2 linked regions of the Stegostoma tigrinum genome follow. The protein of the gene in region 2 purifies or fractionates together with the protein of the main gene of each other region. This does not show direct contact. Links are inferred from orthologs where the notes say so. Each region holds a gene or a part of one and is shown on either strand. Other genes may lie near its edges.

The links.
Region 1: the proteins of innate immunity activator protein-like (region 2) and cyth1b purify together in Homo sapiens (co-immunoprecipitation; 3 studies listed by BioGRID and IntAct, counting the BioPlex papers as one, with this or other methods). This does not show direct contact. The link is inferred for Stegostoma tigrinum from reciprocal best matches to the Homo sapiens genes INAVA and CYTH1.

Annotation. Positions count from the first base shown.
Region 1 is NC_081375.1:16,533,427-16,540,813, forward strand, and holds the start of cyth1b (cytohesin-1b), read right to left. Parts: upstream 3,005-7,387; 5' UTR 2,451-3,004; coding exon 2,384-2,450; intron 1-2,383. UniProt on the Homo sapiens protein: Promotes guanine-nucleotide exchange on ARF1, ARF5 and ARF6. Promotes the activation of ARF factors through replacement of GDP with GTP.
Region 2 is NC_081374.1:27,357,929-27,365,824, forward strand, and holds the start of innate immunity activator protein-like, read left to right. Parts: upstream 1-4,887; 5' UTR 4,888-5,237; intron 5,238-7,896. UniProt on the Homo sapiens protein: Expressed in peripheral macrophages and intestinal myeloid-derived cells, is required for optimal PRR (pattern recognition receptor)-induced signaling, cytokine secretion, and bacterial clearance.

The DNA.
Region 1 (7,387 bases), on a different chromosome or scaffold from region 2:
AGTGGGGTATATTACAAGTTGCAAGACTCAAACTTAATGAATAGCTACTGTTATTGCCAAGAGTTAATTATACTCTCTCAGGAAGAAATCCTGAAAATTATGTTCTTGAGTAATAATGACAGTAGGAGGTCAAGCCATAATTTACACAGACTGCCAAAAAACAAGAAACAAGAGATTATAGTAAAAAAGGCCATTCTGAATCCAGTATTTCAAACTCCAGCCAAATACTCAAATGTTCAAAATGGAGTCTCACGGCGTTAGCGATACGAACTTCACAACAGATGATCATTTTGCCAACTCAGCACAATCTTGAATGGGATTTGCACTGATTACGTAAAGTAGTATGCAGGTCTCAAGAAATACTGTAAGATACACTTAAAATGAAAAGAGTATTCAGGACTGTATTTGTAACATTTCAAGCCTATTTTGTGCTTTAAATCAAGATTGAAAGAAATACAAAAAGATAACTTGTGGTTGACTCCTCTGAAGGCTCAAAAAAGTATTTAATCACAAACAACACTGCACAAAAGCTGCACAGCCATTTTAGTGGCTGAAATGTCTGAATATGCAAGTTACTTTTAGGAACAGAAACTTCAAACCAAGCATTCTGCTGTCAGCATTTCTTGCTTTAGTCAGCTGATGGATGTCTATTCCATTCTTAATGCTAACATACACTACAGACGACTAGCAGAAAAGCCTCCTTACACGTAGCATTTGGATTGATGGGCAGAAGGCTATACTCTCCTACAGGTTCTATTTTCCCCAAATTAATATTTGCATTTGATTGCTTATTTTGGATGACAATCCACTAAATGACAGAACATCACTGTCGGAAAGATCAAGACTACAAAACATGCTGACAGATTATGAAGCTGTCTGTTGCCACGTTATGTTTTAATCAATGATTATGCTGAAATATTAGAACTTCCTGTATGATCCTTCTGATAAATATTATATATAAATTTGACAAGGGGCATCTTTTTCAAACTTAATGGAAACTATGGTATTACTATGTACACATTTTGAAATCATCGTAAGTTAAATGCTCTCTCAACTATTTCAGGATTTAAAGGCACAAATTGAATAGAGGAAATTTATTTCTTAAACATACAGCACAGGAGGCCACCTGATCGATCTCTTCTGCACTGGTTCTTCTGAAAGCGTATCTATTTATTCCCAAACACTCTTCCTTACCGACAGACCTAAAAATCTATCCTAGTGCAGCTGGAAGCAGTTTCAATAGCAGATTTAAAAGGGGAATTAGATAACTATCGGAAGGGAAAAATAAATTGTAGAACTACAGGAAAAGGATGAGAGATTAGAACTAGCTAAGTTGTTCTTGTAGTATGCTAGCATGGACGCAAAGGGCCAAATGGTTCCCTTGTGCTGTAATTATTCCCTACTTCTATGGAATCCTGTTAACACGAACAATCATTCTTCAAGAGACAGTCAACTGCGTTAAAAACTGTCATATCGGCTACATGTCAATACAATTGAAATAAATTGGACATGGACAAAGGTTTGCACATGAGATTATACATATTTCAGTGATTACTAGACAGAATATTTACTACAAAACCTGTTTTAATAACCAATGCTCAAATACCTACTACATAGTGTAACACTCAGTAATAAATTATCAAATTCAAATTAACAAATTACTGATTTCATTAACACTAATCAACATCTCAGCATTTTTCTGCACAATACAATAAATATGTAGATAGTGGTGATATTAATTTCAAAATCTTCCAGATCTCTCAATTCTAGTGCAGTTCAAGTGGGAAAAATACCAGTTAGTTAGTGACCTAATACAAGAAGGAAGTTTCACAGAAAAACAACAAGTGCTTCCACCTCTAGCAGGTTTCCAGATGTTTCACTGCTCAAAAATGCAGTCATCTACACAAAACCTGATGCTAATCGAGCCACAACTGGAATTAAATTTCAAGTTCATCAGAAAAGATGAAAGTTTTTGAAAAATAGTTGCAGAATTTCAGGAGTAAATAGAGTTTTATTAATTTTTTGACTCTTGTCTCTTTTGAAGCAATTTTAAACATTCATAAAAGTATAATAATGGCAATATTGCCATAATAATGACCATACAATACTGGCAAACATATCAATTCCAGTCTGTTTTCTTCATTGCTATGGATATTCAGATTGTACACAGTCAGTATTGCTAAAGCATTGTATTAACAGGAAATATATTTAACTCAAAACAAAACAAACATGCTGAAAAATGGGTAATGGATCAAAGTGTTTCACTTTTATAGCCATTGCATCTGATCAGTTTGTTAAATTTGGAAACCCACCACCTAAAGTGGTGTCTCTTACAGTACTAGTCAAAGACTATCTTTCAGCTTTAAATCTCATTCAACCATACCTGGTTTTGCATTTACACAGAGGAAAGCCTGGAAGCTGGATGCACAGAGCTCACTAACAGTTCCCATCACTCGGTTCAATTTTTTTATAATCCAAAAGCCGTCAAATGTATTTATCTCAGTGGATATGGGCTTTTCGCCACACAGGCTTCACGGGATAATGTAATCTCTCTGGTAGTCAGTTTTGAAGTCCTCTCCCAAATGGGGAAATACTGTCATCTGGTTTTTCTCTATATATGTAGTCCCTTGGTGCACCACTGCAGCAGACTGTCAGTAATCGAATTTCACTGGCCACACATCCAGGAAAGGCTTAAATATTTCCAAATTGCCAAAGTGTTTCAACGTCACTGCCTGACAACCTGCCTCAGTATTCATTCAGCCAATCAGGTGCACATAGATGACAACACAATCTAACGTCTATTTAAGTAATAAAGTCAAATAATTGTGAATTACTTGCATCTCCAACCTTAGCTCCTACCAGCCCTTGTCAAGGTGAATGTTATTAAGTTTTCTAGGGGCTTTTAATTTATAACAAAGATTCCATGTTCACCTACAAAACCTTTTTCATTGTTGCTTAGCAACTTACTCTCCATTACATAAAATGAACGCACTAAAAATGTACTCAGTATTGTGTAAAAGGTTTTTTTTTTAAAAAGTGTTAGAAATTAAGACTTGCACTATTACTAAAAAAACTTGAAAAGTAATTGCAATTCTTCAAAAGAATGAAAAGAGATTCTTCTAAACAAGGTTCAAAGATTCCAGCTTCTATGATAAAAGGAGCAGTATTATCCAATTTGTTTGTTTTTTAACATGTGATTTTGCCAAAGCTGGCTACAGTACACAATACTACAAAATAGTACATTCAGGGATTTTTTTTGGCAATGTTTTAAATGATTGACTAATCATAATTAGTTCTAAAAATATGCCCTTTGGGCATGCAACATGTTTTTCAGTAATTTATATATTTCTGGTCAAAGGTGAGAAGATAAATGTAGAGCTTAACACGATATAAATTTATTTCACTAGTACCCAGATATGTTTTAGAAAGCAACTTCTCTTTTTAAATATTCATCTGATACTGTTACAGTTGTTTTTTTAAACATCAGAAAAGCACTGCAGCAATGTGTTCAATTTGTCATTTTTTTGGCACACATTTCTTTGTAATCTCACTAGGATGCAGGTACAATTTAACAAATGTCATGAAGTTTCTTTTCCAACAATCTCTTACAGGTTTATAATCTCAGTTTTGATTTTCAGTCAAAATGCTGATCAAAACTGAAGTTCTGCTCTCTTATGCCACAGTCACTGGTGCAATATGAGGAGGAGTAAAGCTATTTGACTGCTATCAAGTTTGATACCGGATCCAAATTCATTCAAATGATGTATTGTTGGAAGACTTCAGAAATGTCAACACATTTTCTTTTTCCAAGATACTTTCAATCTTAGATCTATTCCTTTAAAGGAAAAGACTATATAGTCCTCATGTAGAAATGAAAAGCTAAAATAACAGGAGCTGTCAGCAAGTGGGGAGTAAAAAAATAACTTATGTATCTAAGAAAGCAGATAACATCCAGTGACTGTGCAGCGCTCCATATATGGCAAGCTTATTTATAGGGCAGACAATGCTTTCAGACAACTATAGCGGACAGCATCCTCGTGTACTAAAACGACATATCAAGTTGTAGTAGGGTATAAGGATGCAACTCCATCCCTCCGATTCACAATATGGCAAATTCCAATTATCTGCCAATTGATCGGCGAAGGACCATTTACCATGAGGAACCGTATTGAAACTGAAGTTATATCAGCTTCACATTTTTTTTTATAAAAATGTTCTGTTGATTTACGAGCAACGTTGATGAAGTTTTTCTTTCAATTCTTTTGTTGAGCCAGCATGTATTGCACATCCTTGGTTGCCCTTGAGAAGGTGGTGGTGAGCTGAACCACTGCAGTTCATGTGCTCTAGGTAGACCCACAATGCAGTTCGTGAGGGAATTCCAGGATTTTGACCAGCAACACTGAAGGAAAAGTGATACATTTCCAAGTCAGGATCATGATTAGGAGTTAATTATCTATGGCTGCAATGGTCCAAGAATATTGTAGTTATGTTATAAGAACTAATACACGTGTACATCATAATAGAGTAAGAAGAGTATATGTAATAGGGCTAACAAAGCAGCAAATTAATATTGGTGATGTTTTCTAATTTTAAGACTACACAAATTATTAACAATGGAGTTGTTGATCAACGTGCAGCATCTTTGCAGTTGATAAAAATAGCACTTTTATATCACAGTAATTGGGACCTATACAGAACAGCATAGGAGCAGGAGAAGCTCATTCAGCAGATGTCAGCGATTGTATATAAAAACTTCTGTGTAGTCCCATTGATCAAAAACAGCTATAGGGTATGTAAACATACGTTTCAAATCAGAGTCCAGTTTGGTGATCTAACAGCAATGATAAAATATGGAGAAATATAATCAAAACCTCAGAAGTTTGTAAGAAAATAAAGCAAAGAACTGCAGATGTTGGAAATCAGAAACACAAACAGAAATTGCTAGAAAGAAACTCAGCAGGCCTGGGAGTATCTGTAGAGAAAAAGTCAATGTTTCAGGTCCAGTGACTGTTCTTCAGAACAGATTGTAGCTAGGACACAGTACTATGCTATTCAGTGCTAGGTGGTGCCATACACACATTCTTAATCTCTCTCTCCAACAGCACCATCTCATGCTGGCTCAGAGCTGCCGTGACCCCAGTTCCATTTCATCCTCCGCCTCATCCAACACTAACAAGAATTTTTTCTTTTCCTTTCAGGCACTACTGAACACAAGAAGCAACACGTCCCTCTGGAAAGTTCCTCTCGCCCCTACCATCCGAACCCCCTAATCCCACCTCCTGTTGTGTGTTTACTATTTGTCTGACCTTAAGTTTCCTGATGCTGAGTGTTCTGTACTCAGCAAAAATCTCAGTTTTAATGTCTCTGCTTCATCCCCCAACCAAATGAATTTTGGGCATGACATGATGTTGAACTCCTCTTCCATCATTTTCACCTCCGTTCCTCTTTCTTTGGATGAAAGTCCTCTCCTAGTTCCACAAACCCCTTCACCCATCACCAACACTCTTCCTCCATTTGGACCCAAACCTGTGGTATTTACCGCCACTCAAAGTCACACTGGTTGCCTTAATATCTCTGCCTCCCAAAAACTGTGAACTGACTGCACTCCGTCCTCTCAGATCCAACCCTGACTTTGTAATCAAGCCTGTCAAGAAGGGTGGTGCAATTGCTGGCACTGGCATACTGGCCTCTTCATTATGGCTTCTGAGCACCAGCCCTTGGACACCTCTTCGTACTTCACATAGGACCATGACTCCACCACAAAACACCAGGCCACCGTGTCGCCAACAGTCACTAATTTCATGTCATCTGGCTATCTCCCCACCACTATCTCTGAGCTCATAGTCCTGCAAACTTCTACCTCTTTCCCAAAATCCACCAACAGGACCGCCTGGCAGACCCATCGTTTATCCCTGCTCTTGCCCCACACAACTCATCTCTTCCTACATCGACAGAATTGTTTCACCTCTTGTCCAGTCCCTTCCCTTTCCATCTGTTTCAGAATCTCCACTTTGTGGACTTAAGCCACCTCTTCTTTACCATGGACGTGCAATCCCTTTACACATCCATCCCTGATCAGGTGGTCTCAGGGTTTTCCACTACTTCCTGAAAAAACAAAAGTCTGAACGATCCCAATCCACCAACACCATCCTCCTCAACCTGGCCAAGATCACCCTTACTTTAAGCAACAACTCCTTTAACGCTCCTCTCTTTTCAGGTCAAAAAGGAGGCCATGGGTACCTGCATGGGCCCAGTTATGCCTGTCCCTTTGTGGAGTACATGGAACATACCTTGTTCTCCACCCACATTTCTTCAGTATATCAATAACATTGTCGGTGCTGCTTCCCTCTCTCACCCGGAATTGGGAAATGTTATCAATTTTGCTTCCAATTTCCACCCTGCTCTCACCTACACCTGGTCCACATTTGACTCCTTCCTTCCCTTCCTCAACATCCATGTCCATTCATGATGATGGGCTGGCCACCAATATCCACAACAAACCCACCAACTTCCACAGTTATCTTGATTATACGTCCTCACAACATGCTTCCTGCAAAGACAATACTCCATTATCCTAGTTCCTCCTTCTCCATCACATCTCTTCCAATGTGGCCAGATTCTGCAATGGGGCCTCTGAAACGTCCATTTCCTTCTTCAACTGAATTCCCCATGACCCTCATCTGTGTCCAATCCATCTCCTGCACTTCGGCCCTTACCACTTCACTGCCTTCTCTTAATAGCTATAGGGTCTCTCTCCGGTCCTCATTTTCTAACACACCAGCATCACAGCTAAAGGATCATTAACAACCTTTTTCGCCATCTCTAATAGAATTTCACCACAAGACATATTCACCTCACCTCCCTTGTCAGCCTTCTGCAGGGCCCATTCCCTCCAGGGCATCTTGTTCCACTGCTCCTCCATTCCCAACATCTCCCACAGCATCTTCTCTTGCAACAGCAGAGGGTGTCACAGCTGCCTGATTACTTCCTCTCTGCTCACCATGCAAGATCCCAGACACATTTTCAGGTGAGGCAGTGACTCACCTGCACTTCACTCAATATAGTCTACTGTATTCACTGCTCACAACGTGGCCTGCTGTACACTGGGGAGGCAAAATGCAGACTGGATGACCGCTTTGCAGAACATCAACATTCTGTCTGCAAAAGTGACCCTGAGCTTCCTATTGCTTGCCGCTTCAACACACCACCATGTTCCCTGGCCAACATCTGTGTCTCAGGCTTGCTGCAGTGCTCCAGCAAAACCAGTGCAAGCTGGATGGAAAGCATCTTACTTTCAGCTTGGGCACTCTACAGCCTTCAGGACTCAACATCAAGTTTAATAATGTTGGGACCTTAGCATTTTCTCCTATGTCCTTAGTTGAACCCC
Region 2 (7,896 bases):
GAGCACTGTAGTTCGAGTACTATAGATGGGTCAGTTTTTGTCCAGTGTATGCAGGAGGGCTTCCTGACACAGTATGTAGACAGGCCAACAAGGGGCGAAGCCACATTAGATTTGGTACTGGTAATGAGCCCGGCCAGACGTTAGATTTGGAAGTAGGTGGGCACTTTGGTGATAATGATCACAATTCTGTTATGTTTACTTCAGTGATGAAAAGGGATAGGTGTATGTTCCTGGGCAAGAGTTATAGCTGGGGGAAAGGCAATTACGATGAGATTAGGCAAGGTTTAGGGAGCATAGAATGGGGAAGGAAACTGCACGGGATGAGCACTTTAGAAATGTGGAGACTATTCAAGGAAAAGCTTCTGTGTGTCCTAGATAAGTGTGTACCTGTCAGGCAGGGAGGAAGCTGTAGAGCGCGGGAGCCGTGGTTTACAAAGGAAGTGGGATCTGTGGTCAAGAGGAAGAAGGAGGCTTATGTTAGGATGAGACATGAAGGCTCAGTTAGGGCACTTGAGGGTTACAAGGTAGCCAGGAAAGACCTAAAGAGAGAGCTCAGAAGAGCCAGGAGAAGACATGAGAAGTTGTTGGCGGATAGGATCAGGGTAAACTCTAAGGCTTTCTATAGGTATTTACAGAATAAAAGAATGACAAGAGTAAGATTAGGGCCAATCAAGGATAGTAGTGGAAAGTTGTGTGTGGAGTCAGAGGAGATAGGGGAAGCACTAAATGAATATTTTTCAACTGTATTCACTCTAGAAAATGACAATGTTGTCAAGGAGAATACTGAGACACAGGCTATTAGACTAGGTGGGATTGAGGTTCACAAGGAAGAGGTATTAGAAATCCTACAGAGTGTGAAGATAGATAAGTCCCCTGGGCCAGATGGGATTTATCCTAGGATCCTCTGGGAAGCCAGGGAGGAGATTGCCAAGCCTTTGGCATTGATCTTTAACTCATCATTGTCTGCAGGAATAGTGCCAGACGACTGGAGGATAGCAAATGTGGTTCCCCTGTTCAAGAAGGGGAGTAGAGACAACCCTGGTAATTATAGACCAGTCAGCCTTACTTCAGTTGTTGGTAAAGTGTTGGAAAAGGTTATAAGAGATAGGATTTATAATCATTTAGAAAAGAAGAATTTGATTAGGGATAGTCAGCACGGTTTTGTGAAAGGTAGGTCGTGCCTCACAAACCTTATCAAGTTCTTTAAGAAGGTGGCCAGACAGGTAGATGAGAGTAAACCGGTTGATGTGGTGTATATGGATTTCAGCAAGGTGTTCGATAAGGTTCCCCACAGTAGGCTATTCTACAAAATGCAGAGGAATGGGATTGTGGGAGATATAGCAGTTTGGATCGGAAATTGGCTTGCTGAAAGAAGACAGAGGGTGGTAGTTGATGGGAAATGTTCATCCTGGAGACCAGTTACTAGTGGTGTACCGCAAGAGTCGGTGTTGGGTCCACTGCTGTTTGTCATTTTTATAAATGACCTGGATGAGGGTGTAGAAGGATGGGTTAGTAAATTTGCAGACAACACTAAGGGCGGTGGAGTTGTGGATAGTGACGAAGGATGTTGTAGGTTACAGAGAGACATAAATAAGCTGCAGAGCTGGGCTGAGCGGTGGCAAATGGAGTTTAATGCAGACAAGTGTGAGGTGATGCACTTTGGTAGGAGTAATCAGAAGGCAAAGTACAGGGCTAAATGGTAAGATTCTTGGTAGTGTAGATGAGCAGAGAGATCTCGGTGTCCATGTACACAGATCCTTGGAAGTCGCCACCCAGGTTGACAGGGCTGTTAAGAAGGCATACAGTGTTTTAGCTTTTATTAATAGAGGGATCGAGTTCCGGAACCATGAGATTATGCTGTAGCCGTACAAAAACTCTGGTGCGGCCGCACTTGGCGTATTGCGTACAGTTCTGGTCACTGCATTATAAGAAGGATGTGGAAGCTTTGGAAAGGGTGCAGAGGAGATTTACTAGGATGTTGCCTGGTATGGAGGGAAGGTCTTACGAGGAAAGGCTGAGGGACTTGAGGCTGTTTTTGTTAGAGAGAAGAAGGTTGAGAGGTGACTTAATTGAGACATATAAAATAATCAGAGGGTTAGATAGGGTGGATAGGGAGAGCCTTTTTCCTAGGATGGTGATGGCGAGCACAAGGAGGCATGGCTTTAAATTGAGGGGTGAAAGATATAGGACAGAGATAGTTTCTTTACATAGAACATAGAACATAGAAAAGTACAGCACAGTGCAGGCCCTTTGGCCCATGATGTTGTGCTGTGGAATAATCCTCATCCAAAAATAAAATAACCTAACCTACATTCCCCTCAATTCACTGCTGTCCATGTGCATGTCCAGCAGTCGCTTAAATGTCACTAATGACTCCACTTCCACGACTACCACTGGTAAACTATTCCATGCGCTCACAAGTCTCTGGGTGAAGAACCTCCCTCTGATGTCTCCTCTATACCTTCCTCCTAACACCGTAAAACTATGACCCCGCGTGGCAGTCAATCCTGCCCTGGGGAAAAGTCTCTGGCTATCGACTCTATCCATGCCTCTCATTACTTTGTACACCTCGATCAGGTCACATCTCTTCCTCCTTCTCTCCAGAGAGAAAAGTCCGAGCTCAGTCAACCTCTCCTCGTAAGGCAAGCCCCCCAGTCCAGGCAGCATCCCGGTAAATCTCCTTTGCACCCTCTCCAAAGCCTCCACATCTTTCCTATAATAGGGTGACCAGAACTGGACACAATATTCCAAGTGTGGTCTCACCAGGGTTTTGTAGAGCTGCAGCATAACCTCACAACTCTTAAACTCAATCCCCCTGTTAATGAAAGCCAAAACACCATATGCTTTCTTAACAACCTTATCCACCTGGGTGGCAACTATGAGGGAGCTATGCACTTGAACACCAAGATCCCACTGTTCCTCCACACTGCCGAGAATCCTGCCTTTAATCCTATATTCAGCATTTAAATTCGACCTTCCAAAATGCATCACTTCGCAATTATCCAGGTTGAACTCCATCTGCCATTTCTCTGCCCAGCTCTGCATTCTGTCAATGTCTCGCTGAAGCCTGCAATAGCCCTCGATACTATCAACGGCACCTCCAACCTTTATGTCATCAGCAAACATACTAACCCACCCCTCAACCTCCTCATCCAAGTCATTTATAAAAACTACAAAGAGCAGAGGCCCAAGAACAGAGCCCTGTGCGACACCACTCAGCACTAACCTACAGGCAGAATATTTACCATCTACAACCACTCTCTGCCTCCTGTCAGCCAACCAGTTCTGAATCCAGGCAGCCAAATCACCCTGTATCTCATACCTCCTGACTTTATGAATGTCAGAGAGTAGTAAGGGAATGGAACGCTTTGCCTGCAATGGTAGTAGATTTGCCAACTTTAAGTGCATTTAAGTCGTCATTCGACAACCATATGGACGTACATGGAATAGTGTAGGTTAGATGGGCTTCAGGTTGGTATGACAGGTCGGCACAACATCGAGGGCTGAATGGCCTGTACTGTGCTGTGATGTTCTATGTTCTCTGTGTATTTGCAACATGCAGAATATCCTTTCCGACAGGTATTCAGAATTGATTTCAGAAATTTAAATCCAAAGTCCCTATACAAATGTATTTTTATGGAATGTGTTTTCGCATATCCTGCAAAAAGCCCAGTTCTTTGATCCAACTTCACCCAAAAACAGATCATTCAAAAATTAAATTCCATTGAAAGGGCATTTTTTTTATATTTGAAAGCGCATGCTCTGTTTCGTCACCCTGCTATCAACAAGTGTAAGCTAATTAATAGCTTTAATATCATCTATACAGCCACAAATTTCTTTACAATTTCAAGAGAATGGTCTTTATTTGTGATCACCGTTCTTAAGACACACTGATTAATCAATAAACATGTATTATATATGAGCTGTTCATATATATATTTGAAATCAAATTGTCATTCTCTTTCCATTTGAATGCTTCATTACTTTGAATCTTTTCAATATGATTTCATTACTGACAAGTGTGTTTGGTACAATAAATGCTTCATAACGTTTTCTGTGGAAGCAGTGGATCAAGGATCGATGAAGACACAACATGCAGCCAAATTCCCAAATTGGCTTCAATTCCATTCTCCACGTTAAAAGGAAACATTCCGGAAAGTTCATTTTACAATTCGATAATAAGTTTCTCACAACTGAACTATTATTACCCAAATGTTCTCTACTAAAATAAATTAACAATTGTGACACATTATACATTTCGGGGTAGTCAGCTTTTACTAAAATAAAAGTTCTTAGTTATTACACAACCTTCAGTGAAAGCATGTTGCTCGAACAATTATTTGTGTCACCGCGAATAAATAACTGTGATACTTATTTGGCTCATCTCCTGGAATGCCTTCACCCCCCCCCCCCCCCACCACCACATCCATTCGAAACTATTATTTGGACCAATTGGGTCGTTGTTTTATTTTATCATTGAACATACAGTAGGTCAGAGTCTGGTCAAAGTGCCAGAAGTAGGTTTCTGAAGGACTACTATATTCGTCCGCGCAAATTGGCACTTCTGCCATTCCTGCTGCGCGAATACATGGAAAAGTTTGTGAAGCTGCTGGAGCGAAAGTATTATACCTACGCACGGAATTTGTGTTGCAAATGTTGGCAACGATTCTCTGCTCAACTATAATTCCTTCTGCAACCGTCTTCCCAGCACCACAGCAAACAAAACATTCCTACGCCAGAAAAACTTCCAAACTCATTCTAGATGTCATTCGTTTATTTTTATTATATCGTCCAATCTACTTTAAATGAGAGAAAAAAATGCTCCCCAGGGGACTTAAGTATTGCTTGAAGGACCTTACTCAACCCTTAAAGTCTTGGTCCTGGCGGATCAGTGGATTTTCAGTGGGGGAGCTGGAGAATTTTGCTGCTGATGTTTCATACGAGAGAATACTTTTCTGGCGAGCTGTTAGGTTTGAATGAAATTAGTGAGTACGTTCGGCAGTTGGTTTGGTGTCCCACTAAAGCAAGCAAGCAGTATTTTGTATGCAGGGCAAACATATTTCGGGCCCCTTCTCCCTCTCCTGAATCAGTATATTCCAGTGACAGATGTCCTTCGAAGCAGACAAGTTGAGATGCAACGCATGAACAACTGTGTGTTCCAATGTGACTGTTTTGTTCCTGAAAACGAGCTTACATCAATTGACCAGAAATTTCACTTGTTTTCAGAAGAGTGTCAGGTAAGCGCTGTATTGCCTCCTAGATGTTGAGCAGTCAGGCTTGTTTACGTGTTAAAGAGGTTGTCTTTCATCGAGAATCTGAAGAAAATATAAACTAACCCATGCTCAAGTCAGTATAGGACCTGACTTGTTTCGGTATTTACAGTTATATATAACAATGTGTGTGTGTGTTTATAAGCAGTAATAGTACATATTTCTGCGAAAAAGGTTTAGTTAGAGCAGCACTGTTGCAGGTTCTCAAATTAGATGTGAGATTCTTGATAATGGTCAGTTAAGTGACTGGCTGTTTGAAGTTTCGCTGTAAGTACAATAGCCTTTTGTTTTATTTCGGAGACTGATTATTATGGGTGATGGGTTACGTGGAGCCTGATTTCGCAGAGTACTAACTAATGGGACTAAAAAAATACCAGCCAACCTGACCTTAGAAAAGCCCTGAAGATATGTCACATCGTGCATGACTTATCTATCAACTGTGATATCAGTTGGTGGTGATCATCATAAAGTAGCTTTACAAGTAGCAGTGGGACACTGCCTGCAGGCACTGGCCTCTCTGATCGCTTGATAGGAACCTTACAGGCAGTGAGGAAAGGTGAACAGTATCAGTTTTTCCTTAGCCCTGGATGAAAACGCAGTCTCTCGGAGGTGTGGTATAGAGCTTCCATCATTATTCCATCCACTGATAAAGAAATTCTTTAATCCTGATATTGTGAGAGTTTGGCTGTTTAATCTGGAACTTGGTAGTGAAGTAGGGTCAGAACATTGACAATAAAATCGCAAGGATGTCATTTTCCCTTGTAATCTAGTAAACAGCTCTATTTTCTCACCTAATTCATAGAATCCGGTGCTGGTTTCTTACAGGTTTATTTCTGGATGTTCCTTTTCTGTACTTCTTCCAGATTCCCCTACTTCACTGCACCTCTCTCCCCCTGTTGCTACAGACTTTTACCAAGTGTCAGTCATTGGGTAGTTCCTCATCCAAGCGATAATTCTTCATGCAAGCCTAGACGATCAATACCAGCAGACTGTTCATGTGCAACTTGACGTGATGTCCAAGTACATATCGTTCCTAGTAGGAGCCACTGGACAGTGACTAATTGTGAGAACATTGAGCTGAATTTTCTCCTGATAGCCTAGAAATCCTGAAGTATAATGTATCTGCACTGTCGCCAACACAGCTGCGCTTAGGTAATTTCACTCAGACCAATGAATCTGAGGATACATTGCTGATCTATATCGCTAAGTTCCACCTGAACCTGTACTTCCCAGCTGAGCCACTTAGGGGAGTGAAATTCTTTTTTGTTATACATTACTTGCTCTTGTGTGGATGTTCGAAACTTAAGTATGAGAAACTGGCTTTCTATGTCATGCTTCTCCCCACCACACTCTCTCTCATGTTTTTGACTGGCTGTCTGCTTACATTTTGGTACATCCTTTCACTCTTATTTCTGGTCTTTATCAGTCTGTCCTCAAACCTAGAGCCAGACTAGGTAAGGATGACAGTATATACATATATATATCAAAAGTAAGAATTGACTGGAAAATTCAAATTTGTAAGTACATTGAACAAATAAAAAGAGAATCTTGACAATGGCCATACTTGACTGAACACATTTGACCGGATCTCTTCTTAGAAGCAAAGCAGATTCAGACCTCATTCATGCTTTGATGGGCCACTGTCTGGGAAGACTTACCTTCTCAACTTTCCCCCTTGCCTGAGGCATGGTCACCCTCAGGTTAAACCACCACCAGTCATCCCTCTCAAAAGAAGAGCAGCCTATGGGTTTGGTATGACTGTGATGACTACTTTTATTTAATTAGGTTGGTTTGATTCCATTGAATCAAATATGAAGAGAGATTTCTGGCAGCTGCCGCATTGCTTGAGGGGTATGATTCTCATTTTGAGGTATGTGGCTTCGGAATGAACTTGTGAGATTTTGCTGGTTCAAGTCCAGAATGACTCGTGGTGTGATGTTCTCTTGTTTTGTGAACTGCTCATGTAGCACAGCAATAGTGTCCCCACCTGAGAAGGCCTGGGTTCAAGTCCCATCTGCTCTGGAGGTGTTTCATAGCATGTCTGAACAAAGCTCATAAAGTGAGACTTCTGAGACACCAGATATTGGTTAGGGAGCAGACAGACATTTGTAATGTTGCATTCTGAAATTAACTAAAAGATTGCCACTTCACCAACTGGCTTCAGAACACATTAGCAGTGGGGTAAAACAGGCACCTTTAAAAAGCTTACAGAGATAGTAGGAACTGCCGATGCTGGAGAATCTGAGATAACATGGTGTGAAGCTGGATGAACACAGCAGGCCAAGCAGCATCAGAGGAGCAGGAAAATTTGACATTTTGGGTCGAGACCCTTCTTCAGAAATTTCTGGCCTGGAACGCCAGCTTTCCTGCTCCTCTGACGCTGCTTGACTGGCTGTGTTCATCCAGCTCTACATCTTGTTATCTAGGACTTTGGCTACTATGGGTTTGCTCATCATCACTGTCATCCTCATTAAGCCTACACTCTACCTTCAGCTCCATCCTTTTAAATTGACTTTCTGGTCTAATCGCCAACTTGCAAAGTTCAAACTCTCTTTCTTGTCCTTTATCGTGTTCAAGCTGCTTCATCTTTTCCAACTCGAACATTCTTTCCCTTTATTTCTCTTCT